Linked DNA regions of Schizosaccharomyces pombe. The gene in region 1 interacts genetically with each later gene. Each region holds a gene or a part of one and is shown on either strand. Other genes may lie near its edges. The genes, in order: bch1 and apm1.

Evidence for each region.
Region 2: of bch1 (region 1) and apm1, changing one enhances a phenotype caused by changing the other (phenotypic enhancement), as found in Schizosaccharomyces pombe (one study listed by BioGRID).

The regions. Positions count from the first base shown.
Region 1 is NC_003423.3:3,780,030-3,796,600, forward strand, and holds bch1 (ChAPs family protein), read left to right. Parts: upstream 1-5,758; 5' UTR 5,759-5,818; coding exon 5,819-5,850; exon of another isoform or gene 5,851-5,899; coding exon 5,900-6,026; exon of another isoform or gene 6,027-6,049; intron 6,050-6,171; coding exon 6,172-7,791; exon of another isoform or gene 7,792-7,846; coding exon 7,847-8,017; 3' UTR 8,018-8,284; downstream 8,285-16,571. Other genes in the region: histone chaperone Hip3, read right to left, coding at 1-2,641; F0-ATPase epsilon subunit Atp15, read right to left, coding at 4,158-4,332, 4,405-4,433; SPOM_SPBC31F10.17C (uncharacterized protein), read right to left, coding at 8,288-8,620, 8,696-8,746; vps1301 (lipid transfer protein), read right to left, coding at 9,357-16,571.
Region 2 is NC_003423.3:1,904,135-1,919,910, forward strand, and holds apm1 (AP-1 adaptor complex mu subunit Apm1), read left to right. Parts: upstream 1-6,006; 5' UTR 6,007-6,045; coding exon 6,046-6,107; exon of another isoform or gene 6,108-6,182; coding exon 6,183-6,288; exon of another isoform or gene 6,289-6,358; coding exon 6,359-7,006; intron 7,007-7,084; coding exon 7,085-7,549; 3' UTR 7,550-7,681; downstream 7,682-15,776. Other genes in the region: SAGA complex, phosphatidylinositol pseudokinase subunit Tra1, read right to left, coding at 1-1,284; ubiquitin-conjugating enzyme Ubc7, read left to right, coding at 1,665-1,853, 2,250-2,307, 2,357-2,610; ribosome biogenesis protein Yar1, read right to left, coding at 3,098-3,538; ribosome biogenesis protein Nop8, read left to right, coding at 3,998-5,434; fmo1 (flavin dependent monooxygenase), read right to left, coding at 8,002-9,345; CCAAT-binding factor complex repressor Php4, read right to left, coding at 11,716-12,603; SPOM_SPBC16E9.02C (CUE domain protein ), read right to left, coding at 14,027-15,567. UniProt on the Schizosaccharomyces pombe protein: Component of the adaptor complexes which link clathrin to receptors in coated vesicles. Clathrin-associated protein complexes are believed to interact with the cytoplasmic tails of membrane proteins, leading to their selection and concentration.

The DNA.
Region 1 (16,571 bases):
TAAAATCGTAATGAAGTAAATGCGCAAACAGAGTGTAAAATATGCACCAACCACTCATCAAAGAATCTTTTACCGTTTGAGCATAAGAATCAAACTCAGGGTTTGAAGGTTTTGGAATCCTTTGATCCGAAATGTCCTCATCTATTCCAACATAAATAGCAAAAGTGCGCAAGTATATAAGGATAATTCTAATGCAATCAATGACAGTCATCTCGTTACAGGGAGACAATATATCAGGTTGCTCATGTAATTTTTGCCAAATAATCCTGAATAAATTTGAAGAAAAATTAAGCATGCCGAGTAGTTCAGCCTGACGGCGACCGGCATCTTGAATACTGAATGACGAAGAACAAAGCCTAATTAAAATAATTTTTAGCGATTGAAAGGCACACAACAACGAATTATAAGGTCTATGTGCTGAGCTATAAGCCTGATACAGTAAATACCATAAGTGTATTTGAAATTCAGTAGAAGTCTTTTCCAAAAATTGAGAAATAAATTTTGCTTGAGGATCTTCTGCAAATTTGTTTTCAGGAGAAAGGACGGGTTCCAAATTTTTTATAACGGCATTAAAGTCCAAGTTTTTGGTATTCATAAATAAAGTATTAAAAAACTCAACGGTTTGTAATTTGGAAAGTTCAAAATCGACAACCTGAACGCTCAAATCTGCCATGCATTGACTGTTTAAAAGTTCAAGAGAATCACTGTTTTCTTGCAAAAGACAACGCAACTGTTTGAAATTTTCAACTATAGCCTCACTAGAACAACCAGTTAACCGTAACAATAAGTTTCGAGCCCATGAGTTTCTAATTATCAAATGTCTTTGGCTAGAACTTTTACAAGACGGCTGCAATTCGACTACTTGTTCAGTAAGAGATTTCCAACGTAAGCAACGTAATTTTTTATATTCCAATGACTCAGTTGGTATTTCAGAAACATTATCGTCTTTTTGATCATTGGAGCTAAACTTGAGCGCTAAAAAGTAATCGTCTAAAAACAGTTCAAAAAGCGATTGTGAAATATTAAAAACTTCAGGGGTTTGTAAGCTTGCCTTCACCAGTTCGTGAAGAGTGCTTTCAATTCTCTCACAAATTGTAGTAAATTTCTTTTTAAATATTTTCCCCCAACATTGCTGCAAATAGAATGGAGGCTCTAATTTTCGAGGCCTTAACATACTCTCAACAAAGAATGTAGCAAGCTCAGCGGGAACCATATTGAGACTATTTACTTCACTTAATAATTGAAGAAGATAACCATCCGGGACCTGCATATGCTCAAGTCTATTAGCACTATGCATAGCTAAATCAATAAGAATCATTTTGGAGAAAGCTCCGTTAGCTGCTGAGTCGGTCGAAACATCTAGGTCCGGAATACTGCCTTCGCTAGGAAAATTAACTAGTAATTGATGATAGTCTTCAAATATGGAACTATATTCTCGAAACATAGATTCACCTGAAAACGGGGAAGTTGCGTCAGGAAATCTTTTTTGGATTTGCTCATTAATATCCGAAGTTATGCTTGCAATCAAAGAAAACAAGTTCGACTCTGAAGGCGTTCGTAAGTCTCTACCACGAGATCTTTTACTAATGCGTACATCGGAATCATCTATCGGCCTCTTAAGGAGTTGGGGTTTAGGCAAATTATCCGAAGGAGGTGGAACAATGTCCTTGGCATAAACAGGTTCAGACAATTTTGCAGCTGTATTAATAGTATTAGTATCGGGCCCTGCATCTGAAATTTCAGACCATAATTCTGAATCAGTGGATTCCAAATCATGCGATTCTGCGGTGCTCAAATTCAGGGAATGAACATGAATAATTAATGTCGAAGGAAAACCACGAGTCGGGGTTTTTTTTTCATTTATCTGTAATGCATATAGAACAAGATCTAAAAAACCATGAAGAGTGTCATGAGATAGTTGAAGTTTTTTTATTTTCGGGCATAAGTTTATGGACCTTCGATGAAATGAAGGAGTGGGTAATTGAGGAAAAAAAGAAGGCAAAGTATAAAGAGAACTAATCGACAAATCCAATTGCGGTAAGGGTTCTGCTATACCGCCTAACTTTTTTAACAAATTGTATAGGTTTTGTAGAGAGATAAGCTTCCCAGGATTTAAATCATCAATATTCGTAAATACTCTCTCCGCGTCAAAGGGTTCGTAGCCGGTATAAAATGATGACTCTAAAGCAAATCTTTGAATTCTTGGCATTTCCAATTTTTCAGCTAACTCGGCAACAAAAGACCAAAGTTCTATGTCATTGTAATCGCAAGCCAATGCAATAGCAAAATCGAGCAGGGCGTCCCGATACACAGGGATGGGATCGGTTGAAGGATCTAAGGATAATAAAGATTGTAGCTTTGACAGCAAAAACAAACCATGATTTTTTCTAGTGAGGTAATGTAGTAGCAATAAAGCATTATTTTTTTTATAATTAGAATTAACGGTAAAAGGGAGTTCGCGAAGAATTCGAACATTCAATAGCTCATCGTAATACTTTGTAGCAGCATTGTCATCTCCCTGCTTCTGGGCTGAAAGTGCATTTTGATATATTTGAACAGCTTCTTCAATTCGGATTTCTAAAGTGCGTTTTTCCTTATCCAGATCTTCACTGGCCGCATTTAGAGGAGTAAACGTTGCCATAACCTTAATATGAGACTTCCAAATTGATCACTGTATAAAACTGTAACCAGAAATTGAAAAAAGTATGTAGATAAGATGTTAAAGTTGTAGATAAAGGAAGCGATGTATTACAAAAAGCGTCAAACAACTGTGGTTTTCAATACTATACTCCGCAAAAGCATTGAGCAATAAGCCTGCATTGGAAGATCAAGCTATTGAGCGTCCTAAATTCAGATTTCAGCTCTCTACACACCTTCAAAAAGCAAAGATAATTAAAATAAGTGCTAATAACAAAAAAAAAATTAAAAACTCCCAACGCAAACAAAACCTCAGGAAATCAATCAGTGCGTTTACAGATGTTTATATTAAGTCATAAAATCGGTATGAATTCACTAATTCCCAAGGCAATTTAAGGCTGGTTCTTTAATGTTTTGATGCACTGAACAAACTTTTGAACTTGGGTGACGACTACTTTTTTAAGTAGGAACAGATTATGAATTGCAATCAAAAGCAAACTTTTATAGTTTTAAGGGATGTTTATCATAAGGATATTGTTTTGTAACTCTTCTCTTACTACAGACTTTATCAAAGTAGTTTAGTAATTTCTTTGATGTCGTTAAGAAAGCGTAAGTGGTGACTTTTGTCTTTGCTGTGTAACGTATTTAGTTCGTGGTTTTCAAAAAGAAGAGTGTGTTGATTTTCTGCATCGTTAATACCGCACGTTGCCTTCGACTACAAACGCCAACATAGACAGGTGCAGACAGGTCTCAAACACGTCTTTAGTGGCATATCTAGAGACCCAAGTAGTCACTAAATAGCGAAGTTAAACGATACACTATATCCTTGCAAGAAGAGAAAGAGTACAAGGCATCAAGTGGAGTTTGTTTTGAATGTAATGCGATTTCGTATGTATACCCTGTTTCTTTCATTCGGGCTCTAAAATTGTATTCATACAATTAAAAATTTTTTAATGGGTGAGTTTGCATGATTGTTTGAAAACAGTAGAACAAGCAATTTTGTTCGACGTTGAAGCCATTTTTTAGAAACTAGATAACGATACAAACAATTAAGAACATAGTATTGTAGTAAGTTTACTGTGTAATGCGACTATAAATGATCTCGGTAGTAGCAAAAACAAAAACTACGTTAATGAATGATATTAGTGACAAAACTCACTTACTTCTAAATTAGCTACATCTCATTATAGTAAAATCAACAATTTTTGGTTTTGAGACAAAGGCCGATTATAGATTTGATCGAAAATACAGAGCAACCACAATGATTTGAAGTGCCATTCTCAACAGTTTTAAGAAAACAGAGCAAACTACCTTGTTCTATTAAACTTCATCATTAAAAAAAGTAATAAAAATTTATTGAAAGGATCAGTTAGTAATTCAACGTTAAGTCGAATATAGTAATCATTATAAGAGATTGTAAACCATCAGTGATATCTGTTGAAATGAGTGAAACATCAAATGAAGCTGAAATATTACCAATGGGTAATGAAGGACAAAAAATTCGTTTGTAGCCTTTATTTTCATTCCTTATCAGCAGACTTTGCCGAATTGTAAGACTCCGTTTTTTCCTGAGCGCCATTTTTCCATCGAGTATAAAGGAACTCTGCATCACCATGAGTTTTAACCTCGTTTTTAATTTCCGGTTTTAAGGCTTGACGAACAGTTTGGGAACAAATAGAAGCATATTTGCTATAACTACAAATATTCATTCATTAGTAAAACTATCAGGGTATATTTAATGTTCACATTCAAGAAATGAATCCATACCTAAAGTTTTTCTTCCAAGCAAAAGCCATTTTCTCAATGAATTGCTAAATCGTACAGAGATGGGGGAACGGTAACTTAAAATCCATGACACTCTCTTGAAACCCCGTTCGGTAAGGGTCGGACACATTTATTGAGTTCAATATGTACATTCGTTAATCTAACATTGGTAACGTGCTTTTCTTAGTAAAATATAGCGCAGTTTGATTAAAATGACTTTGGTGATGCTAACGATTCATCGCTATACAGATTGCCTTTTTATTAATCAACACTATTCAGTAAATAAATATTCAAAAGGCCGTATTAATTTGAATTGACAAATGAATATATACCTCTCATCAGTCAAAAGGCTGGTTATTTTCGCTACTAACCATAATTTATTAGAAGGACAAAGCGGTACCAAAGCCTTAATTGTTTACTAGCTGGGCAAGTGAAAGTAATTCAATACATTCGCAAGAAAACTGAACTTAAGCACTGTTACGTTTCTCACTTTGTTTAATCTTAACACTTATCGTAGTTAATTTAAAAATGTCAGTTAAAACAAGCAATGTATACTAGCACTCTCCATTGATTGTATTTAGTCAAATTAGCTTTCTTGATGAGCGTTAACATGAATGGCTTAAGCATAAATTTCGATTCTTTCTTTGTAGAATTTTGCACTATTAAATAACGTATTCGCACATGTTATTTGGTTTTAGGATATTTTAAACAAACAATGGTTCATTGCAAGAGACATCTATCAAAATGTATGGCTAGATGAAACAAAAAATTTCTTGTCAAGGAGATATATAATGCAAAAATCAATAACTCCTGATTCTACTTTTAGACGTTTCATTAAAGGTTCGTTAAAGATTTCGAAATTCGGAAAAAAATTCACAGCAACTTACATTCGCAATTGCTTGGAAGTATTGTATTAATTTATCATATGCTTACCAGCGTATTGTGCGAGTTTTTTAAAGCTAACATTGTGCGTATGACTGGTCTAACTTTTAGTGGAAACTAACATAAAGCTGTTCTTTTTTTTAATACTAATTGCGTTGGATTCCGCACCAACAAGAAATTTTTATTTCAATTGTATTAATCAATGAGTTGTAATCTTAAGAAAAAATTATCGCTACACTATTCGTTGGGTACTACTTTTGACTTCCCTAAATCATCAATTGTCAGGATGAATGAAGATACAAATCAAAATGTATAATATTCAATTATTTTTTGGTTTTCAAATACACTAAATGCATAATTTAATGATATTTATTTATTCTTTATATATAAGGAAATTGTGGACGATTGCCTAATTGTCGCTTGCTACACTTCGTTACAGCAAGTCAGGCTGCGGCTACACCATAACCTCTTAACTGGAACCAGCCACGAGGCCGAATTGAACGCTGCTTTGCATATTAATTCCAATTTATGATATATGAGTGATTCATTCTTTAAGGATATACCAGAGTAAGTTCCTTAAATATAATTGAGCTGAAGTTCTAAACAATGACGATAGGTTTTTAGAAACTCGTGTAAACGAGTCATTAGATGCGCGTTCTAAATCCATCGCACAATTTAAAGAACTCGGGCCTCCTGATCAGGTCAATACTATAAAAGTTAATGCAAAAAATCCATCAAAAGAGGTATGTCACTTTTTAAAGCAGCGAAAGCTGTAGTGTTAATGATGTTGGAGATTAGTGGGGAAAGGATCAAGACAAGTCTCTCTTTACCAAACTTTTCACTCCTATTGAAACGTTAACGTTTTACGTATTATTAACCTCGTCAAAGGTTGGAACTTATCACTTTGTATCTGGAGTTGATGCTTCTTCCTCAGCTTCACTAGCGGCATATTTAAATACGCTTTCCTATTCTCTTGATAAAAGTCAACAATGGTTTGGGAAGGGAAACGCTTGGCGTGTTAGTCACGGAGTTTACTGTTGCTACAATGTCTTCTCTCAAGTTGATGTTCGTGTGGAAGCTAAAATTCCTGGAGGTGTTGACACATATGCTATTGATGAGAATGGGCAAAAGCATATTGTCGATGCTCGTATGTGGACAGAAGCATATATGTCTGAAGTCCTTCGTTCGTTACTTTATTCTGATGATACAAATTCTCGCTTTGCAGGACATCGTCGTTTTAACCCCATTCCAAATCCTGATGCAGAATTAAGATTTTTTGAGGCTGCCGAACAGCTTTTTACGTTAGGTTATACTCTAGGGTCTTCTTCTGAAGTTCGGGTACCTACGCATGTAAATAATCATTTGGTTCGTGGAATTTTCGCTTACTTGAAGCAAACCTGCCGCTACAGTGCTGCTCTAAATCTTTTTGAAAAGCTCCGGGTGTCAATTCCAGAGGTATCGGTTTTGCTTGCTGAACTATACTTACTAATGGACCATGAAGTGCATGCTGTTCGTATCTTGCATGATTCATTGCTAAAACAAAGAATGTCCGCTAGTTTGCTTATTGTTCAAGTTAAGTTTCTGATTTCAAAAGAGCGCTATGACCTTGCACTTATCTGTGCTAAGCGCGCCGTTCATGCTTCTCCATCAGAATTTGCAACTTGGGCATGTTTGGCTGATGTATACTTGCATTTGGAGGATTTTAAATCAGCGTTGTTAGCTCTAAACTCCTGTCCCATGTATACTTACTATGAAAGAGATGCTTATCCTTTGCCTCCTAGTGCTCGTGCTCATTTACCATTTCCTGTCAATTTTCCTAAAGAAGAACTGGAAGTTGAAAATAATGCGCAGAACGGTTATACAGTTTCTACCGAAATTACCGATCCTTACTTAGCTCGCCTACCATCTCCCAGTCTTCGTGGTACATTTGCGAAGGCATATGAAATGCTCACCCTTATATGTGCCAAAATAGGTTGGGATGAACTATTGCGGGTTCGTTCAGCTGTCTTTGTGATGGAAGAAGAATATAGATCCTTAAATGATATTACAGAAGGAAACGCTTCTCCCGATCAAAACGAAGTTGCAGAAGAAAGCGTTGCAGAAGAAGTTGTTGGTTTAGACAAACCAGAAACATCTGTTGGTTCTCTTCCAAAAAATGCCACTGTTCAGAGTAAACGTCTCTGTGAGCGCTGGCTAGATAATCTTTTTATGGTTTTATATGAGGATTTACGTGTATTTACGATTTGGCGCGCTGAATATACTCACTTTAAATCTCAAGGTCTAGCTTACAGAAAAGCTCCTGCAGAATGGGAAATACTAGGTGAGGTTGCTTTTCGGTTGCATCATCGTGTTGAGGCTGTTGAAGCATTCTGCGCTTGCTTGGAAAGTATGTTTTCTTTTAAGGCCTGGAAAACTCTTTTGATAATTTATTCAGAAGACAATAATATTGAGCTCGTTTTGACCGCTATCGCTAAATTAACACTTTATAACTACCGATGGTATCAAGAGGTGAGTTTTTTTCTTTTTTAGATTCCATAACTATAAAACGCTAACATAATCTTAGTATTCCCCCTTTCTTCTGGAGCAAATGAAAAATCGCATTATGCAAGATGGCGCTTTGAAGATGAAGAGTATCCTTGCTTCTACTAGACTTGATCCGTATATCCTTAATCTTATACATAAGCTGTATTTTGAATGGGCTATCGCCTTTCAAATTCCTGGCCATGAATTGTAAGTTTAGACTCATTAAAGCTTTCGTCTAGTGAGTTTTCAAGCGACATTCTTTGCTTTCTTTATTCCACGTTTCCTTCGTTCTGGTTTTCGTTCTTTAGTCAAAACATGTGATGTTGTTTCCCGTTTTCGTGTTTTCATCGAGATTAAATGAATTTATATATATTATCTAACACGCATATAAATATTCTGGTCATGAATAAAATTTTTTTACCATTTTTAAATCATATATGATATTCCTATCAAGAGCTCTTAAGTAATTGTACAGACTTTGTTAATTTTTTGGAAAGCAGAGTGAGCGCATCCTTGCTTGTTCAGCCCACTTTTGTATGCTTATAATCCCCATTTCTCGAGATTGTTCTCTAATAGATTTATTAGATGTCGAATCAATCAATGACCAAGGTGTCAGGTTTATATTAGAACACAATTTAGGCCTCTTCTTTTTTATGCTACTTGTATGTGTCCGACTCGGTGAATAATAGTGATTTTGGGCTTTTCTAGGGAAGACGTAAGCAAATCGGAAAGTTGACGATGATTCTTGCTCCAGCTCTTTCGCCACTTGTACTTGTAAATCTTTTGTTAATGTCTTTTTCCTTGCCTTGGGTATCTACATAGCAATTAGTACAACAAAGAATTTCCTACAACCCATCAACGTATTTGAAAATACATCCCGGCTACATACCGTAGTGCCCTTCTTCGCTTTTTGGAATACAAAGTCACCATCCTGGATCATCTTTCCCAATGGTGTAGTTGTCATTGTCTAACATTTGATTAGAAATTCAATTCTTTTCTATAGTGTTCACGTTTGTTTATTTTTCTTAACCAGCATTTATGGTTGCCATGTCAACCTGGCATCTCAAAACAAAATTTCGTAAACAATAAGTTAACAATTGTAAAAATTATATAGGACAAAATAATAAAGATAAATTTTCTTCTTAACAGTTGTTAAATTTTTTTTGATGCTGGTTCATTATTGACTAATCAAGAATGATAGTAACGTCTACGTATGGCGAGATACATACATAAATTATAGGATATCTTGACAACTTTTTGAAATGTATTTTTCATACAGGGAATGGCTAAATAAATATTTTTAAAAACGAGTGGATAATATGACATGAGCATTGTAAGCGGTAGAAACAAAAGTAGCCTTTAAACTTGAAACAGTATTTCAAAGCACATGGAAGTGTTTTCAAATTATTTCAATATGATAACTTCAAATCAAAGGATTTTGATGTAGCACAGCGTGAAGTTGAACAAAGGCAAGCCATCGTTATCTGCTTACAAAACATTAATATATACAAATTCCTTCATAAGAGTTCAATAACAAATAAACAAAAAAATTAAAGAGCAACCTCTAGCTCGTAATTTACTTTGTGTTTATAAGCGGCAAGCTCGTCTCGAATTTTTCGGTAGAAAAATGTCCGAACGGAGTTTTCGGGGACAGAAAATTCAAAGTTTACACCCTTCAAAAGTTGGAGAAAGATATGCTCTTTGCTCTGTAACTTAACAGTTTTAACTTTGGAGAGATGAATTTCTTTTTTGCAATTAAGCTGTTGAGGCTGAACAAACAATATCCTATTATTCGTTAAGATCACAAGCACTTTATTTTCAATAATGATATGAGCCTTATAAAAATCTTTAAAATATCTTCCATTATCGAGATGTTTTAGCCAGTACTGTCCCAAAGCCTCCCGTAGTTGAAAAGGATATACGACACCATCATCACTCATCAGTCTTGACAATCTTAGCTTTTCTATGTGTCGTTCATCAAACACAGTTGTTGTATTTCTTGCGCCTTCAGAGATACTTGACGCAAAATCGAATAACCCTACCAATGGTTTTGTCGTGAAACCCACCAAACCCTTACCTAAGCCTTTAACAAGGCCAGGAAGTCCATTTCTCCTTGCTCCAATAATAGGTTGTAAGGCTAATCCTCTGACACCACTTCGAACTCCTGTGTAAAGTGACGCAGCTCCAGCTGTCACTCCATAAAGTATATGAACAGGCCGATTTCTGATACGAGCAGCACGTCTTCGGCTTTGGAATTTGGGATCCAATGTGATCACACTTAAGCTTCTTGAAATAGTGCCCGTTACTTTTGAAATACTGTCAGTGATTCCGAATACTGCCTTTTTAATAAAGCTTGCAGTACCCTTGGCAAATCCTATACCTAATTCATAAGAACCCTCGTTTAAGATAAAACCATGAAAGGGTTCATAAAATATATCAGCAAAACCGGACGTTATTGTGGTAAATAAGCCAACAGGATTTCCCAAAAAGTCTGCTGATCCAACAATCTTATGCACTTGGGATAAAAGTTCTTGAGAATAATGGTTTTTGACAAGTTCAAAAAGACGGCGGAGAGAAACGTGTGCATTATCCATGAGAAGAGCATTTAAACGGACTGGTGCATCATTTATGTTTCCTATTGCCATTGATAAAACATTCACGAAAAAGACAAATGGATTATGTGAAGAGACAACGGTGCCATCAGTATTATTGATCCTCTCCGTACGAACGAAAGACAGATGCATTTCAGTGGGTTGCAAATTAAGCACTTCAAAATACACTTTCAAATCATTTCCTAGATTTTCTGGTACAAGTTCCAGCGAATCATCAAACATCTTGCCGGTATTTCTTTTGCTTCGGGGCACAGAGTCCTTGATGTATTCGAGTGCAGCAAAAGCAAAGTCCTCATCAATTTCAATAGTTAATTCCTGAAGTAATATAGTAGCATATTTTACGTAAGTCACACCGTATGTATCATTCTTGACAACTGCAACCATTGAGTGAAACGTTGGTAAAAGTGAATTGTCATTCATTGTGTCTTCCTGTGATAGAATACTTGGATAGAGGATAATTGGATAAATTCCTCCATAAAGCTGGTTGTCAATTTGTATCCATCGAACATCTAATTTAAAAGTGCGTATAAGATGGGAATCTGTAAAGAACAAGTTGATCCCATGAAAGGTCAAATACGCTAATTCTTGCGTATTCCGTTCTACCAAAGATATCCCAATTCCCTCCAGCAAAAATTTGACGGACAAGTCAATCCCGGAGTCAAATTGCTCCAAATTAAAATCGCGTTCTTCAGTTGAGACTTTGCTGTATATCTTCGGCTTCCTCACAGCCTTTGAAGGATCATAGTCTTTTAGAATAAGAATTTTCGAAAGCCCATTAGCGACTATATCTCGTGAAATAAATTTTGTATTATTGGAAGCATCGGTGAATTTAAAGGGAGAAAGGGGGCCAATTTCTGCCAAAGTAGTTAAGCATTTTTGATCACCATAGCATAAAGCAATTTCCTTATTAGCACAACAGGGATAATCCCAAGAATACTTTACCTCTGAATGAGGCGGTATATCATGGTACTTCAACAAAGCAGTATTATTCTTTCCTTCTGAGGCATCAATAGGATTTACCTGCCAAAATTTTAACAAAACACCAGATTCATTTTTTATATAGTATGGCCAGTCCCCAGTCTCTTCAAATATACTGATAAAGATTGTGGCATTTTTTATGACAATTTCCAAGCGTAAAAGTTTTTCCCCTTCCGAGGTCATTAAACGTACATGAGTTGACCCTATCTCCTCAATATAAAATGATGATGACCAAAGGTAGCAATCTGAGGAGGATAGCTTTAACATCGGGTGTGAATGCTTTCTTAAATATGTCAAAAACTCTTCACCCTCAGGAGCGATTTCCGCAATAAAATCGTTGTAAGGCTCCGCAATCACCAAACTCCATCTTGTTTTATTTCTCACTATGAATCTAGAAGTTATTGTAACGATATTAGTTTTCGAGTAACCATCGGGTCCCGTTTCAACAAAAATACCTAATCTGTAAACTTTATTATGGTCTTCCTTGGAAGGTAATTCTACTTCAAACACACTGCCAATCGCATCAAAGCTAACGGGCTCACTCCAATTAGAATTATCTGCTCGTAACCGACATCTTCTGCTGCCATAGTTATGCGAATATGAAAACATACATGGAACAACTTTGCCGTCTTCCCCAGACGAAAGAGAAGCTGAAGAAAAAGAAATACGGTTGTAATCATTTTTTGGACCAACAAACAGAAAGGACCCTGACTTGTTAATTATTATGTACGGGCTAAAAATTTCGATGTGATAAATTCCAGGATACTTTTCAGTATAACTCAACCCTAATCTTGTTTTTCTACCTCCCTGAAGAGTGATTGTCATGTACTCATCTCTTTCTTGAGCAGAGTCGTTAGTGATAATAGTAGCCAAGGAGCTGGGAAGGTAATGCGACTCTGATGACTCGGCTTGTAGGAGCAAAACGTGGGAAATATTTATCGAGTGAACATATGCGCACTCTCCAATACCAACATTCGACATCCATACTCCCTCTTGGTCCTTATCGATGATTCGAATGTTAAGATCAATTGGCAATAAGTTTTTCACTTCTAGGAGCGCAGAAATCGTAATATGCATAAAAGGATAATGGTTGGATATAGTTTGACTTTTAAGTTCTGCATTAGCGGCAAAACGACACGCAGGAGTCGAGAAGGTGTTATCTGAATGTTGGCATGTCACAAGGCTCTGTTTGTTGTCAACTAGATCTTTCCAAGATATAGCTTCCGAAGTCCAATTAAATTTAAATTCTGAAACCGGTCTAATGTGAATTGAATAATAATAAGCAGTTTCAATTGGCAAAGAGCAACTCTCTTCAGGGCTCATGTGGTATATCTGTGACCTTTGAATGCCATCTGAGTCGCAAAAAACTACATCTATTTCCATTTGGGTCTCATTTATCAATAAAAGTGGGGAACGTAGAGTGATATGTTTAATATAATCTTCTCCCAAATTGACATCAACTACCATATAATGCTTTAGCTCGTCTTGATCATAGGAAATTAAGGGATATATATGCTCTCCTACACGATTAACTCGTACATGTCGTAAAGACTCCCATTTACTGTTTTCGAAATGGAACCCTATATAAGATCTATCCTGATCTTGTTTAACCACATCCTGCATTTGTCTCCATTCTTCAAATTTCCAGTCGGTTTCTTCGTTATTTTCGAGATGTCTAACGCAAGAATCTGCAGCATTTTCAAAATCTGCCCAAACACTAACAGCATGTCCTGTGTAGTTGTGAATACGATAAGGTGCGTCACATTTGAATTCAATAGGAAATGGAGTACTGATAACTTTGGTGAAACCAAAATGTAGAGTCTCAATTAACTGAGGAGTAATAACCAGATCTAATTTCTCTCTCGAAAAAACATGTACCGCAGTCTTCGATGTGTTTGGATTCCTAGAAATATGTACACCTACTTTCCAGGGCTCTAAAAAGGGCTCCCAATGAGAGTTAGAGAAGTTATAAAAATTCATAAAAAGCTCCAAATGTGCATTTGAATTTAACTCGGAAGACCAATCGTTAAGATCTACCTGAAAAGGCTTAATGTTAATATTTAAAAGTGGAAGATCATGTAGTTGACTAATAACCAATAGTCGAATACCGTCAACTGTTAATAAAAATTCTTCCTTGCATATACGTATTCCAAAAACAGAAGAAGGCTGACCGGTGTCTACTGACAATTGAAGAAAATCGGGATTCGTCGCTAGTTGATCATCCTTCGTTCTCTTCAGCAATTCAACATCGGTTGTGGGGACATCGTATAGGGCATAATAAAAATTATATATCTTACGTAAAATAGTTTGGAGGAACAGAAAGTCGTTCACTGTAGTCCTTAAGACAAACGAATCAAAATCAAGAGTGATGTTGGTGATTATCTGAATTTTGTTGACGGTATGCTGCGAATATGTGTAACGAAATCCAAAAGGGTCTGCTAACTGATTAGATATATTGGCCGTCTCGCTGAGAGGACAAGCATTAATCTTCATGTTGTTAGCAGTAACCGCAAAGATCGATTGTTGGGTAATTAATAGCTCTCCAAAAAACATTGGTAGTGAGTAAAGATTGGCATCAGATACGTTTCTAAAAAAGAGCAAAGTCATATCAACAAATGTAATTCTGTAGTACCAATAGCTTTCTTCTCCACAAGCATTTTGGTTTGGATTTCCCATAATAAAGTATTCAACCTCTGTTAAATAATCCAAGTGCGAATAGTAAGCACGATGCCAATGAACAAATATAGACCAAATAGAATACAAATAATTCAAATTGACAAATATCTTCGGTGAATCAATATCTAGTACGAGGTTGTATCTTGGATTTTGAGAATCATATTCAAGGCAACCATTGACAAGTCTGTTATGATTTTCACTGTATTCTAATACATCCAAAAAAACGACATTATCTTGAGGATTGCAATCTTTTAATTGTATAGAATCGATTGAAAACTCAGCATAACAACGACCGCTTGAATAAAAATTATAATCAAGTGAGAATCCAAAGAAGCTTAATATGGAATGCAATTGTGTTAAATCCCCACCGTGAATCCAGAAATCATCGGTGTGCACATTGAGACGTATTTCAGGTAAATTAAACGTAGTGAGAATATCTAAAGTTTCTACTACGGTTTTTTTTGGATGTTTTAATTTGGCAGCAGTACCGGACCTATCAAAAGCCTTATCCAGTTCTCGTCTTAGGTTTTCAGAAGTATAAAATGAAGAATCAACTCTAGCAAAGGTAGTGGCTACATCGATTAAATCCCAGAAAATAACATGATGTGACTGGCACATGTTTAATATGACAGGATCCAAATCACCAGTTGCTTTGAATACATAAGCACCAGTAGTGTAATTAGCGTCATATGTAAGGTCCAAATGAACATTATTTTCCTCCATTAGTACATCGTGATGCGAGGAACTAGGGACGGCAGTATGAAATTCAACCTTAGTTATTTCACAACTGAATATTGATTTCTTCGAGTTCTTTTCCACAATCGGACATTTACTAAACGCATAAAAGGATTGGGGTTTCACTATCAATTGCATCCGACAATTTCTTTCTTCATCTAATACATCATCAAAGTATACCTTTGGATGCTTAATTCGAAGCTCAAATTTAGGATAAGTTAGGCTAACTTTGTTTCCGTAAAGCTTATAGTAGATCGCATATCTAATTGAGCTAAATAATTCCTGAAATCGCTTCAACTTTAATAAAAAATCGTATATTGCATTGAAATATGATTTTTGAAAATAAAAAGTTAATGAGCCAAAAGATATATCATAAACACAGTCGCATGTAGGTTTCGATATGTCTTTTGGAATGTCATAACTCTCATATTTAAATATAAATAAATCATTATCGTCAATCTTCACAATGGTCTTTGGCGGATTATTACTTTTCATATGGTTTTTAACTTCAAGGTCATAAAATCGTGCTTGAAGGAAAAACTTCTCTCTGAATTCCATATGCATGTTAGCACTATACAGACAAACTGTTGAAAAATGTTGATCACAGTCATAAAGAAAAATATCTACGTTGTCAAACCGAACGTTGGCGTCTTCTGGAATAATTCCTTCAACTGGTGAAATTTTTCGAGTCAACTCTGGATCTTCACCAATCATATACTCATCATTTAAAGAGGTAAAAGTGGCTCTGATAAAATCGTAGACAAATGAAAATCCAGTAGGCTCAACGTTGAGAATGAGATCAGAAAGGACTACAGCAATGGTAGTTCGAACACCTTCGTAAACAGAATCTAGTTCAGGAGAGTCATAATCAATGCTTGTATAGCTGATGAAAACGGTATCATCAAAGTTATTTTTAGGTGAAGGAGAAGAACGAACTAAAACATTGTCACAAAGAGAAGAAGGATATGTAAATTCTTTAATAACCAAGTCGTTAAGCTTGGAAGTAACAAGGTAATCAAATTTTCGCACTACTAGGTCGATGTAAAACTCTGTAAATGCTCTTACCACAGGTATGAGATAGTTTTCAGATCTTCGGTACAACGAACATATAGCATAATCCACCTTAAAATAGAAAGCAAAAATTTGCTGGGCCATAAATTGCGCAGCGGTGTTTTCATTAGCATGACTTCCAAGAGAAGTATGAGTTATTTGAAAATTATCAGGAGCATCAAAGAAAGGAGGAGGCTTAACCGCGTCAAGGAATTGTTGGTATGTAAATGGTATTTCAGCAACAGGAAGCGTAGGCAATATATTGCTCATCATATTAATGAATACCTTATATTGCACATCAGAAAACATAATTTCGGCATGCTTCATATGACTTGAAACTTTGAACTTCGTTAAGTTAGTAGCTTTTTGAAGGATTGATATTTCAAAGTTAATGTCAAGAGAGCATTCTTTCAAAATATGGTAATCACACCCTTTGGGTAAGCAACGCCAACCAGTTTCATAATCAGGCCCAATTAAGCATCGAACATTAAATAATGAGATGGTAAACTTGTCGTACATCAAGTTTTCTAGTTGTTTTAATTGCTCGTTGTTTATCTTTTTGCTCTGGAGTTTTCTGAATTTGTCGATAATCGCATCATCAACTAATTGGGTATGTACCAACGCTCTACCCACGTCAAGGAACAGTGTAGGGCTTTTTAAATCCGTACATTCTTCTCGAACAACAATCAAGGGAGCTTGCAGGTCAATTGTCAT
Region 2 (15,776 bases), 1.9 Mb from region 1:
TTCTAGTGCAACAATTCTTTCAACCAAGTTTAAAATAAGCTTTGTAGCCATTGCCTGAATAGCTGAAGTATAAAAGTCGTCCATCAAAATACTGAAATAAAGAAGTATGACTTTGTAAATTTGTTGTGGACTTAATTCCATACGCACATAATGAAGCATATCTGCCAGCATGCTAAAAGCCATGGGTCGTAATGAATGCTGAGAAGTGATTCCAGAACCAACTAGAATTTTGGTATCAAGTAGTTGATCTACATACGGTAGAAACCCTCTCAAATAATCCGTCGATAAGACGTGCCTTGTAGCTACCAAAAGTTCTCTTCGAGTCTGATATAATTCGGAAGGACAGTCCATGAACAATTGCAAGGTACATATTGGGATCGAGCTTTCAAACTGTTTAAGAGCAGCACCAAAACTTCTCAATAAATAGGCGAGAAAAGAGAATGATTTAATTTGCGCAGAAATAAGGTCATTGTAAAGATGATTTCGACGCAAAGAAGGGACTACACCAATAAAAACCTCTTTTTGAGATTCTGCAAGTCGACGAGCTTCGGCTTGAGGTGGAGGACGAAGTGAGATAAATTGAAGTACAAGCGGAGCAAGTAAAGGAAGCATTTTCGGAATAAGATCTTTGTATGTTTGAAATAGGAGAAAGACGATAATGGGAAATTCAGCAGTGACCTTGAAACTCGAAGAAGCTTTTGGGATCATTTTTGGACCTGCATGTTCCATTCCAATTTCAGCAGGAGATGCAGAAGATGCAGCAGACATGGGATGAGAGGATGGAGTATTCGGAGCTGATCTAGGTGGGAAAGCTTCTGAAACAACTGTGGTCATGGATTTGTAGTTTTCAACGACAATGGATAAAAATTCCTGAACATGTCCCTTAGCAAGGCTACTGTGGTCCTTAAAAAGAAGGACAACAAGCTTCAATGCCAACACTGCCATCTCTTCATTATCATTAACGACTATACGAAGAAGCACGGCAAAAGTCCGATTAACGAATGCTTCAAAACCTTTATAGGATCCAGATTTCTTGAGCAATTCAAGCAATGCAATGCGTAAACGATGTGTAGCTGCTAACGATGAAAATACAGGACGTTCCTTTTCAAGCAAAGACAACGTGTCCTCCAAAAGAGGAATGAAAGTTTCAAAATTCGTCTTTTCAGTTACCAACACATCATCCAGTGCATCTCGAATTTCAATTGCTGTGTTTGCCTTTTGCTTCGAGTCTAATCCAACATCACAAAGCCGATTATGCCAATGTTCGCATTGTGATACATCCATCAGATGCTTGGATCTCTGCGCAAGCTCTTTTTTAAATTCCAATTGCACTCGGATACGTTTTCCTAAGTATTTAACAATTACTATTGGAATGTTGTGGGATAGAGCAAGCTGCATTTCTTTCCTCTAAATCACTTTATGAATTTTACATGTTTTCGCTATTTTAATTAACGGCCTTATTATTTTGTGCGGTAGAAGTTGCTAAAATGATGAACGAGATAAAAATAGCGAGTGATACCACAAAAGTTCGTTTAGCCTCAGCTGCATAATTTGTCGTAAACAAACCATTCATTCATTAATCTGTTCATTACCATTTTTAGGCTACCTTTTAGTCAGTGATCTTTAATATATCTTACCGATTAGTAAGTTAATTGATTTCCAAAATGAGTAAAGCTATGGCGTTGCGACGGTTAATGAAGGAGTATAAGGAGTTAACGGAGAATGGGCCTGATGGTATTACTGCAGGTCCATCGAATGAGGATGATTTCTTTACTTGGGATTGCCTAATTCAAGGCCCTGATGGAACTCCATTTGAAGGTGGGTTATACCCTGCTACCTTGAAATTTCCTTCCGTAAGTCCTTTACTATAAACCTGATGGAGACTGAACATGTGATTTAAGTTGTGGATAAGTATGATGTTTCGCATGTTTTATGTATCAACTACTTATTAAAAAATACGCGCTCTTTTTCATAAATTAACATTTGTTCAGCGTAAATAAAGAAAGTAACTCAATAATCCATTCGTTTAGAATGATCATTTAAGAGAAGTGCTTTTATTCATTAGTAATTGATGAATCCTTCGATTTATTGATGAGTAGGAAGAAATTTTATTTAAAAGATCTATCTAAGTTTTTTTTTGGGGGTTTGGTTTCTTTCTTTGAATCGCATGGCAGTACATCCGGGGTGTTCAAGCGCACGTTGATACGTGCTTAGTTTTATTTTTATTGGATTCTAACTTTTTTATGTAGGATTATCCTCTTGGCCCCCCTACTTTAAAGTTTGAGTGTGAATTTTTCCATCCAAATGGTATGCCAGATACTATTAATCCAAATTTCGAGACTAACCTTCATTTCAGTTTACAAAGATGGGACGGTTTGCATTTCCATCCTACATGCACCTGGTGACGATCCAAATATGTATGAGTCGTCTTCAGAACGTTGGTCTCCTGTTCAATCTGTTGAAAAAATACTGTTATCGGTAATGTCGATGTTGGCGGAACCAAACGATGAAAGTGGTGCTAACATCGATGCGTGCAAGATGTGGAGAGAAGATCGAGAAGAATATTGTCGTGTAGTTCGACGATTGGCTCGTAAAACCTTGGGATTATAACCATGAATTGTATATTTGATTAGATTGCCATGAATAACGAACCTGATAAAATCTAGAAATAAAGTTTTGTTCCATTTTTGAACGCAACCGGTAGGCTTTTCTCTTTCTATTCCAACGTATAACGCTACATAGGTTTAATTACAAGGTTTAAACAAAAATGAAAGCACTTTTCCAATTCAATTTCTATCTGTAAATGATGGAAGATAAACATTTTGTCTATTGAGATAATCCATCTTTTAATAAACATCACTTGAACTTTCTACACAGATACATGGCAACGTACATCGCTGAAAACGAATTATATTGAGAAAACATCTAGAAATTACACAGTAAAAAACTTAACAAAATATAAGAATAACCCCAAATTATGCTCCAAAAGAAAAAAAAAATGCATCAGGTGCATAAAAATATTAGCTTCCCACAACCTACAAAAGAAAGAGGTAAATTTTTTTACAAAATAAAAATCAGAAATTATCAAATAAAACGATCATATTCCATCTTCCAATTTTTCTTCATCACCAGTGTTTTCTTCACTACCTTTAGCAATCTCAAAATCCAGAAAAAGGTCCATTACTTTTTGCTGATTTCGAATATCAGCTTCATATATAGGTGACTTCTCATAAATATTCTTAATATGAGGATCACCTCCCGCTTCCAGTAGTAATTTGCAAATTTCAGCATGTCCATTCAGTGCTGCCCAATGCATTGCGGTGTTTCCACTCTCATTCTGAGCATTTATTACTTCTTTATTCAAGTACGGGATTATTTTTTGAACAACAGCGATGTGTCCATTAGCACTAGCCATATGAAGTCCAGAGTTACCATTTTCATCACGACGACTTAATTCTTGTGGACATTTCTCTATAATCTCATCTAGTAACTCCTCATCCGCAGCTCTACAAGCGTAAATTAAATCATCAACATCCATATTAAACTATCCAATCCAGTAAAGAAGGATGTTTTACCGGTTTATTTGGAAAGAGAATGATGTGAAAACTGTTCGTTTGTTAGTGTAAGGTAGCCGCGGCTTCTCCAACTTGGCTTCGGCAAGGCCGTGGTTACTTACTACACCACAAATTCCATTGCAATTTTATATAATTATTCAACGAGAACCTGCCTTCTACAGCAGGTTAATTTTTGATTTATAAGAAGGAGAAAAAGAAGTTACAGGAGTGTTTATTTCCGAAAGTCATAGAGATTTAAACCAGTATATATGCTTTCCTTGTAAAAAATTTCATTGCTCACACAGCTCTCGATTCCTCATCTAAATAGCTATCTGGTAGCGATTGGTAGACTATTTTTTCGGGTTTATTTCCCATTATATTTCAGACACTCTTTTTGACCTGCGAAACTTTTTGTCCTCATTTTGTATCAATTGACTTCAATAATGGAGTTAGAAAAACGGATTTATGTTGGTGGCCTTTCATCCTCTATTGAATCTTCAGATTTGGAATCCAGATTTTCTCGTTTTGGAAGTGTTTCAAATCTTGAAATTATAAACAAATCTACTCCAGTAGGAACTATACAACGATTTGCATACTTGAATTTTCGAACAGATGAAGATAAATGGCAGAAATGCAAGTCTTACTTATCAAATGCGACGTTTAAAGGAAGTAAACTTCGTATAGAGGAAGCTCGCCCTTATTATTTAGTAAAATTGCAGCAGGAAAAAAAAATTGCTGATCTTCAAAGTACTAATAATGATGAGAAAAATGAAGATCACTCCAGCAAAGTTGATCTGGAAGACCCAGTCTTTCATGGAGAAATAATTGTTCCCGGAAAACATAGTAAAAATATGCAGGTGGTCACGGATTCTGATGTTCGGAAGGATCCTCCTAGAAAAGGTTGGAAAAAAGGCCCCTATGGAAGGGCCATTGTCGTGCTTCGAATGTATAATAAAAATACTAAGAAAACGAGGTTTTTTTATCCGCTGGGTAAAAACTGCTTACAAAAACTATGGGGCCGAGTGGAAACGAATATGGACAATACTACAGCTTTTTATGATTCTGATCATGATGAGTATGTATCATATGGGGGTAAGAGAGCTTCTCGTGACAAAATACGTATGCAAGCAAAATTGGGTATCAAAGCTTCTACTCAGAAGGATGATAACGATTTTGAACTTCTTAATAACACAACTGGGGAGATTGAAGTCACAAAAGAATTAAACGAAGAGCAATTGGATGCTTTGCGAAAAAAAGATAAGGATACGGCTGCATCTGTGTTAGCTGAACTGTTTGGTTCTGAAAATACAGAAGAAATTGATACCGTATCTAAAACTTCAGGTGTTTTGGAACTGGACAATGATTCGACTAATAATTTCCAAAAAGAAGGTTTGGATGAACAAGATAATTTACAAAAGGAAGAGTCCGTACACATAGATGTTCCTGCTGAATTTGAAGCATTTGATGAGCGTACTGCTGTTGTTAACGTTGACAATTTAAAAGAAATGTTTTCTTCCAATGCGCAGGATACGTCTAAGTTTTCTCTTTTTGGCAATGAAAATGGAGTTGGTGAGGAAAGTGAAATGGAAAGTGAGATTGATGACCGTAATTACGAAACTATGGAAGAAGAGGCAGATGGGGAAACTCCGCTAGCTATAGTTAAAGCCTCATCGGGTACCAAGGGTTGGCCAAAAATGTTTACTCTACCCAATCCTTCTTCCCTATTCCAACCAGGTAATGAAGATTATACGAGCAGAGAAGCTCTTGAATCCTGGTGGTCGGAAAATCGTCTATTCTTAACTCGTGATTACAAACGAAAAAGAAAAGATGCCGTAAAAAGACAGCGAAGGGCTCATGAAAAGCGTATTCGACTTGTTTAAAGACGCGTATAGGTTATGTATTTATTGGGAATTTATTTGGGTATTTTAAGGTTACGAGGTATATATTGATTTTTTACACACTTTTGGAATCTTTACGTTGTTATTTCTCTATCCTTTTTATTTTAGAAAAAAATCTGTGTCTTTTTAAAAAGCCACGATGTTCACTTTGGTTTTATCATTGGTGAAAGTTAACAACTTTTTTCGTTGCACTTTCTTGGGATTTGTGGCTTTTAATATTTACAATGTTTGAGATCAAATTTTATTAAAATATTTGTTATTCTTATTGTTATAAGCCAAAGTTGTCAAATAAAACATACCGAAATTTTCTTACATTGTCAGAAAAATTATTTTCCTTTTCGGCATTTACAAAACCATATAATGTAAATTAGTTATAATTATCTGAATAGATTATCTTATAAAAGAAGACTGAATGTGTGCATAGAGTAGTAATTACTCAATATAAGAAGAATTTCGTACTATATGTAAGAAACAGAAATAGTGAATTACGCTGTATTACACTAGCGGTGCTTAGGCACGGTGATGAGGCAGCCAACAGTCAATGCTAGTTATCCAGAGCGAAACTAGCTGCCTTATTCGCGGCTTCTGTAAAAATGGCTTCTGCTATATTCGTTCTGAATTTAAAGGGAAAGGTAATCATTTCCCGTGATTACCGGTAGGCAATTTTGAAATCTGAATGAAAATCAGATTGTCGCAATTCGTCGACAGGTTACTAACAGAAAACAATTAGAGCTGATATCCCCATGTCAGTAGTTGAAAAGTTTTTACCTTTAAAATCAGAAGTTGAAGAAGAACAAGGATTCTCCACCCCTTGTCTCACTCACGAAGGCATTAACGTATGTAAAAGTTAGATATTATGAAAGCCAACAATTCTTATTTTTTTATGGTCGTACTAACACTTTTCAGTACATTTACATTCACCATAATGATGTCTACCTCCTTGCTTTATCCAAAATGAATTCCGATGCAATGGAGATGCTAGTATTTTTGCGTAAAATGGCGGACGTTTTTATAGATTACTTTAAAGAATTGCAGGAAGAGTCGATTCGAGATAACTTTGTTCTTGTTTATGAATTGTTAGACGAGATCATGGATTTCGGTTTTCCACAAACAACTGAAACAAAAATCTTGCAAGAATACATCACTCAAACCTCAAATACGGTAAAAAAGCATGCTCCACCCCCCATTGCTATGACAAATGCTATCTCCTGGCGTTCTGAAGGAATTCACTATCGTAAGAATGAAGTATTTTTGGACGTTATTGAATCAGTTAATTTAATTGCTGCTGCCGATGGTACGGTCATTCAAAGTGAAATCTTAGGAAAAGTTCGTCTCAAATGCTACTTATCAGGAATGCCTGAACTTCGTCTTGGGCTCAATGACAAGGTCCTTTTCGAAGCGGCTGGTCGTACCATTAAAGGAAACACTGTGGAAATGGAAGATGTGAAATTTCACCAATGTGTTCGTCTTGCTCGATTTGAAAACGATCGTACAATTTCGTTCATTCCTCCTGATGGCGAATTTGATTTAATGTCCTATCGCATGAGTTCAAATGTAAGTTATTAGTTTGTGCCTGTTCTTTTTATTCCCTCTCTCCTTTATCAACGTTTTCTAATATTAATTTCTCGTTAGGTACGGCCATTAATTTGGGTTGAATGTGAATCCATCGTGCATTCAGGTTCGAGAATTGAGTTTATGGTAAAAGCTAAGGCTCAATTCAAAAAGCGTTGTATTGCAAATAATGTCCAAATCATCATTCCCGTTCCGGAAGATGCTGACAGTCCTCGGTTTCAAACTAGCAATGGTCATGTGCAATATGCACCTGAACAAGCTGCCATGGTTTGGAACATTAAGAAATTTGCAGGTGGTAAAGAATTTTTCATGCGTGCTGAAATGGGTTTACCAAGTGTTAAAAATGAAGATATTCAAGTTCAGAAAAAACGTCCTGTTCAACTAAAATTTGCTATTCCCTATTTCACTACCTCAGGGATCCAAGTTCGTTATTTAAAAATCACCGAACCAAAACTTAATTATCATGCTATGCCTTGGGTTCGATATGTTACACAAAATGGTACTGAATATTCCATCCGTCAGTAAATGTTTCTAATGATGGTTCTCCGTTCCGTTCTTTTTTCTACCTTTAGATACCTTTCCCTTCATCTATATATTTGTTTTCTTAGTGTACTGATCCCATTTATTACGAAATGAAATCTTGTTTGCAGACGCGCTAATCCTTTTTCTTACTCAGCTGACATAAAAGGAGCATTTGCTTGAAACATAAATGTCTAAGTCTATTTATTGTATAAAGGATAAGTTCAATGTTTTTATTAAAACAGAAATAAAGATTTTCTAACATACAATTCCATTTACTCAGTAGTGAATCTCCGTGTATTAAAAATACATAAAAGACAGATTGTTCCAAACGGTTTTCTAAACATAATAAATTAAAAACCAAAAGCGAGAGAATGAGAGGGAGACCGGATAGTAAGAAAAAGATTGAAGGGAAAAGTTTAAAGGTCTAAGGGTGTAATGAGTTTTCAAGTACGTATTTACTTTGGAGGTTCAATTCCGAAAAACTTAGCACGGATGGACCACATGTTTTCACGGATGCTTCGTTCCTTCTCGCCCCAATACGGTGACGGAAACTCTTCTTCAAGAACAGGTGTAGCCTGTTTACACCAGTCGTGTAGCTTGTTAATGTAGGTAGCGTCTTTTGGATAATCCAAAGAGTGATACATATTATTTGCTCCACTCAGCGAAAACATTAATTCGTCTTGCCATTTCAGCTGCTCTTCTTTGCTGGGTAATTTGAGGCGACCAGACCAAACTCGCGCGAGGAACGCTGCCTGTGCTTGACTAGTAGGGAAAGGAACAACGTGTAGAGCTAAACCAACAAAAGCCAGAGTTGGATCGGGGATATAAAATATATGTTGATAGACATTGTGCACATGACTACCATCATCAATCAACTTGGTTTCAGGGGATTTCAACTTAGCCAGGGAAGGAAATGGTACGGAATACAAGTATCCGGTACAATAAATAACTCTGTCAATATTAGATAACACTTTTCCACCTTTCAAGTATATTTCCCTAGTGGTAGGATCGAACTTAGTAATTTCAGGTACTTGTTGCAACGATTCATTCTGTATGTCCCCTCCACCAAGAAGACTTTGATATATAGGGTGCTTAGCGACTGGCGTCAAGTGTCGGACGAGATCGTTTGCAGAAGAAGCACCACCAACTACAAGTACTGATTCACCCACGAATAATTCTGGTTCACGGAATAGCGATGAGTGTAGAACTGACCCCGGCACGGCTTTAGCGTATTCATCGAGACCTTTAATATTGGGGATATAGGGTACTTCATAATGACCATTACAAATTGAGACTGCATCAAAGATATCTTTACTAATCGGGCTTCCGGCTTTCGTTCCTTTGTATGTCACGACCCAGGAGCCATCCTTCTTTTCTATATCTAGGACATCGGTGGCTAATTTTATAAAGGGCAGCAGAGGTTGTGCATATATCCGTTGATATTCCTGAATGGTATGTCGATGGGGGAATTGAAGAGTTTGGGGTTTAAAGCTTTGATCACAATAACCCATCAACTCAATTGGGGTATTAGTTTGCAGATCACGATACAAAGGTGAAGGATACACAGGTAAAGCAGCTGGTCCGACAATGGGTTCGGTTGTTAAAATGGGATTTGTGCTAGGAACCGGTAACTTATTTGATAAAGTACTTGTATAGTTCCAAACACCACCCGGAGACCCCCTTCGCTCAAAAAGCGTGACCTGGTCAAACGCCTTTTCTGCTAACAGCGCTTTAGCCGTAACTAATCCAGAGGGACCAGCACCAATGATTGCAATTTTTCGAATTGTTGGAAGACACATAAGAACAAAAGAGAAAATGATAATTTTTTGATTAGTACCAAGTAAATTAAGATATTTTTTTTTCTGTACAAAGAATAACAGAATGAAACAATATCCAATTGTGAAGGAGTGTAATTGAATGAAAACTACACTTTATGTGCGTTTTATATCTTTGCACGTTCCGATTGTCCTCAATCTGCCAGGGGGCCTTGAAATCGCTGATAAAGCTATAGCTTATTGGCTAAAAAATAGAAGTGCTGGTTAGCGATACACATATTGAAGCCAGACACTATCTGTATATATAGTTTGTTATGGATTCAAAAACGCATCCGCTTTTCGCAACTTTAAACAATCTTTTCATCATACTCAATATTAAGCACGACTAAATTACAACATCCGATCAACATTTTAGTAATCCAAGTTCTGTTATAAGCGAGCCATATGACAAAAATGGGACATTTGAATTTCTCATTTAGAGCAAATTAAAATAATAAATGTAGTTTACACCTCTTGATGGATTTAATAATTAAGATCAAGCTGATATCCGAATGTAAATTTGACCTTGGCAACGGATTATCAAAGAGAAAATTTTTTTAGCGTCCAATGATAACAGCGTTTAAGAATTAGTTACTTATAAAGACCGAAGCGATCTTCCAGATAATGAATAGCAATACATTAGATGTGAACCTATTAATGTTGTTTAAAAGATCTAGTAAGGGCATTTTGAAAGGAAATCATGCTGATGAAAAAAAAATATATCTTTATCTTCCTAACACTTCTTGCAATGGCCATAAGAGAAAGTACGTCTCTGCTGCTCATACTTTTCAAGCATGTTGAATGCTTCAAAGTAAATGATTATAGTAATTTCCCAAATAAATATAGTTAGGTGACTTACTGACTCCGCCTAACGCGTAAGTTGGATTGTTGAAACAATTAAGCTCTTGCTGTTACAACGGTATAGCTTAATACCCAAATAATTACTTAAATGCTTTAAATCATCATAATACCAACAAACGTTCGTTTTTATAATCAGAGACAAGAAGATTTTAAGATTTGCAGGGAGGTATACTCATATATAAATTCATTGTATTTTAGAGTACTATCAATTATGTATCTCAAAGAGTATATAGTAATACATGAAATAAAAGTTTTTAAAGTTGAATTATAATTTGATGTTCTATAATTGGGGTGAATGCACCCTAATTGACAATAGAGAATTCTACGAAAAAAATCATGCATCCAGGATAGTCATATAGGATTTTGGTTAAAATTGGCAGCACAATATAGTTTTTGATGCAATTACAGTTAACATGCATAATACTTGTTTTGAAAAAAAGTTATGAATAAAAGCTCAATTGTAAGCACATCACAAAGAACGATTTTTAATCGTAATTGACGATATGTAATTTTGGATTTCATATAAAATTGTAACTACTTATTAAATGATCATTAGGGGAAATAGCGCACACTGTTTTATATCCTCTTCAAATTTACAAAATGAAATTAATCAATTTTAGCAATTTACCTATTTTATATGATTGAATTGAATTGAAAAAACCATGAGTTGATTATGACGCTGAAAGAAAGACATATAAGATCCTTAGGACACTACAACTCTTTCTACTTGAATGCGAAAGTGGATTGGTCTCACCAAAAGATTACCGTACACAAGAACTTCGGTGCTCTAGCAAGTTTTCTTTCAACCAGGGCAATTGCAAAACGAAGAAATTCTAGTGGTACACCACACTGTTAAAAAAAATTGACTAGCATATTAACATTGTTAGATTATTCACTTTTTAAATTTGGAAATACGAAGCTTCAAACATAAGCCATAATAAACACAGTGAAGGCTTTAGCATTAAATTTATTAAAAACACTGCTTAGCAGTTTGTAAAGTCAAATGTTTGCTATGAACATTTTGAGTAAAAATATAACAAAGATTTATTCTTTTCTATACAAATCAGAAAATATATAAAAACAAAACATATAGTGAAATTAACATATATAACAGAAAAGGAAGCAATGTAATGAACAAAGCGATCTAGACTAGAATATGTCAAGGAAACATACTTTACGACGTACAGCCAGTCTAGTGAGTAAAAAAAAAACACACTCTTAAAACAAATACCAAGAACACGAAAAATAAAATGTTGTAATATTTCTGAATGTATTGGTTCAAATACCAGTAGTGAACGTTAGTATTAACAGAAAGAAATCCAAAAAGAACGAAAATGCACAACGAATAAAATAGTATGAAGCAAGATAATTAAGTCCGAAAATAAAAATTCCGTACCATGGAAAAAGGTAATGGAGATCACTTACAAACAGAAAAGTCGCTGCTGAGATGCAATAACAAGAGGAGATGAGAGATGACAAAAACTTTTGGGAAACTTAGGAAGAAGAGGATATGGAAGTGACGGGACGAACATCGTTAAAATTTGGTTCCATGGTAGGAAGTTTGAAGGCGATTGAAGGACCTGCCTTTAACATCGGAGCAGACTTCGAGGACTTGTGTAAGTCAATAAGTAGTTGAGCATAAACCTTGGTTTCCTCGGATTCACGGACACGTTTAACAGATTTAGGGCTTCCAGAGTACAAACATCCTTCTACACTATTGCAAACACCACGTTTACGTATCTTCTCCATTACTGCTGGGTTTTCAGGTGTAAAATTAATTTCGTTTTGGGGAGACATAGATACACGAATTCTTCCATTTTCGGATGGAACGGACTTTGCATCTTTACTGTCACTATCCACACGAATTCTCTTGGCCGAATCACCCAAGAAGGCATGAGGATCTAGCTCAATGGGAATCTCTGTATAAACGGCATTCTTAGCACAGGGCGGCTCGACCGGATAATTGTACTGATTTACATAACGGTTTTCATTCTCAGTAGTCGCAGAATCTGGCTTGACAACTTCAGAGTTTACTTCGACTTCCTTGGGGCTATCCAAAGTAGAATTCTTCAACTGAGCCTGCAGCATCTCCAACTGCTCAAGCAGCTCGTTGTTCTCCTTCTGTAACTTTCCGATCGTATCCTGATATTGTTTTTCACGAACACGGAATTTGGCTTCCTCGACCGACAAAGCTGAAGTCGGCCCAGGTCTTGGTTTAATAGGTGCCTTTCTTCTTCCCAGAGCATCTAACGCAGGTTTCCTTCCTGGTTTGGGACGAGGAGGAACAACCCATTGTTTAGAGACGCGAATCATCGGCTTTTGAGGTGCTGGAGAAGCAGAAGATGATTTTTCCACTTCCGATGGACTTTTAGACGATTCCATGAGCAAAAAAAAAGTTGGGGGGATAGGAGATATCAAGTACAGAACTACACTTTTAGCAAAATATATAAATCTTTATTTTCCAATACTCCAATGCCTCTACTGACCAAGCTTAAAAATCTCACTTTTTCAAACGTTTGTCGTTGGTGGTTTGTTTTAATCTGATAAAGAGATACGATTAAATTATATCTGATCTAAGTGCCGTGTGGTTCGATGATTGTACTGTTAACCCGGTATGCAACACCTCGTTATATCTTTAAAGACTCAATTTTCGGGAAAAAACGGATTAGTGAACAGGTCGGCTTAGAGGCGCTGTTGACATACATTCTCAATACCCATCATTTCAGTTACAGAACCAATTAAAAAACGCGGGTATGGTGGACATCATCTGATTAAAACCGATCGACCTAATAAACTCTGGGCTCTGGCTATGTAATACTACAATCATTCGGCACACCAACTATCATAGTAATGCTTATCCATGTTACTTTTTTGGAGTTAAATTAATGTTCTGACTCACTGCTTTTCTCATGTCATACCGTCCTTTGAAGATTATTTAACATTTGTTTATATTTTTGATATAATGAGATGAAACGAAAGTGCACTAACACATGTGACTGTTTTTTGACTCCTAGTATATAAGAAATGTGAGTGAGTTAAAACAAAGCTTCATCTCACAAAATAATGAATTACTGATGTCAAAAAGTCTGCTCTCTTCTAACGCGGTTATAATATAGAACCGTATTAATGGTTGCAGCTTTTTCCTCTTCATGGAATCGGTATAGATTATGTCGGGGAGACCGACAGCATAGCTTAAAACCATCGTGAAGTCGTTGCTTCGTGCCATGGCTCGTGATGACCGAATGCTACGTACAGTTTTTATATTTTATATCATTTTTTAGTTTGATTTATGTTGTATTCAGTTATTGTTGTAGTTAAAATACGTTGTTTTAATAATTCACGTTGTTTCGTGCCTTCTCAATGAATATCATTTTTTTGTAAGCATCATATGTCTCATGTACAGTAGTGGTAAAAAGAATAAAGGTTGCTATGCACGCAAGGATGGAGTGAATGTATGGATACTTAGCTACTCAGTTTATCCAAATGGTTTCGATAAAACTTCAAGCACAATCTTAAATTAAAGTTACTTTGCAAATTCATCAACGGGATTGCGATTGTCGTGAAAAATTTAATTGATTATTAATAATTCAATTATAAAAATATGAAACAAAAGAGCTCGAAAAAACATTACTTATAAGAAAAATCGAAACAGCGCTAAAACATTTACTGTAAAGCTGAGGAACACCGAAAATAGCAAAATTTAAATCTTCAAGCTACTCGTACCCTGAATACTCAAGGCATATATAGTACCATTAGCTGATTACAACTCTTGAACCTATCATGATGTGCCTTGTTGTTCTTTCCCTTAAGTCTCTTTTCCCGAATTTTGTAGATCAGCAGCCTCCTCGATCTTTTCCTTAACATCTTTGCTGTCAACTTTTTCAGCCTTTTCATTTGCCTCTTTATTATCATCCTTCGCAGGCTTCTCGTTAGTGTCCTTACTGTCAGTCTGTTCGACTTTGTCCGCAGTTTCTTTGCTATCGGTCTTTTCCTCCTTGTCATCGACCTCTATACTATCAGTCTCCTTAGCCTTGACATCGGCCTCTTTACTTTCAGTTTCTTCGACCTTGTCCTCAGTTTCTTTGCTATCGGTCTTTTCATCCTTGTCATTGGCCTCTATACTATCAGTCTCCTTGGCTTTGACATCGGTCTCCGTTTTACCAGTGTCTTCATTTGTTATCTTTGTATCTTTCTCCTCAACATCCTTATGAAGACTAGCTTTGTTATTTTCGTCCTTACTCTCCTTTTCTTCCCCAACGTCAGATTTCTCTTCTAAATTGGCTTCCGAATCAGCATTCTTGGCTTCAGTTTTCTCAGAAATTTCAGCTGTATCAGACACATCGGATGCTCCTTTACCAACAGCAGGCTCATCAGTTTCGGTTTTTTCGGCTTCAACAGAGGTAGAGTCCTTTGGCTCAGATGTTAGTACCTTGGATTTAGCATTGGATGATCCCATTTGTTCTTCTGATACGGTCTCAAGCGTGCGAGCGGCTTGCTTTCGTGACTCGTCGGGTTTTTTTTCCACTACAACTTCCTTAGTGCTTGCAGTAGGCTTACTTGTGTCTTTTTTCATCTCTAACTCTTCATTGTAAGCTGATTCAAGATCACTATCATCGAGAGCAAAAGCAGAATTAGCGACTTCAATCGCACCATTGCTATCCAAAATGAAGGATTGTCCCTCCACAAAGGCGGCTGAAGAACTTGATTCTACGGAGCGACGGTTGGAGTTCAATGAAGATCGCCTCATCATTGGAGATGAAGATGATTCTAAGCGAAGTCTCTCAAAATCTTTCTCATTCAGCATGTGTGGATCAGATTCATATGGGGGAAGCGTAATGGCTGTTCCTGGTCGAGAGGGTTTACGACGTGGTAACGAAGGTGGTCGTTCTTCATATGCGGATTCCAAAGTAGCAGCAGTAGATCTTCTTGGAGAAGGATAAATTTTAGAAGGTGCAGAATACTTTTCATCATCATCGTCTTCTTCCTCACCATCAAATTTGGAAGCGATATTCTCCACCCATTCCATACTTCTTTGCTTAAATGATTGGAATCCACGCATAAATGTATCTTTGATGACTGGAAGATCGTCTTCAAAAAACGAATAATCATCTCCATCGTTGTCATTGGGCTTTGCTGTACGGTTTTGCGGAGGGTAATTCCTACGATCATTGTTTGTTTTGCGCCTACGTTCTGGACGATGGCTGTTGTAACGATTAGCAAGCTCTCTGGCACATCTCTCGTCTTCCTCAAGCTGTCGTTGCACTGGATCGTCATGTGCGGCTGTGTCATAAGCATAAGAAGTTTCAGCTTGTTCCATTTCTTCAGCAACTTGAGGATCACTCAAACCTATTATGGTTAGAAATGAACGTTGACTATTGCATTCATAAAACTTTTCAAGCACGATATTCTTTAGGGAGCAAACAAACGCGAACTATGAGCCACACTTTAAGATATCAAATGAAATCAATAAGGTAAAGCTTCAAAAACAAAGTGAATAGCACATTACAGATCGTTCACAGTACATCCCCAAAGACACGAAATATATGTGTAGCCTA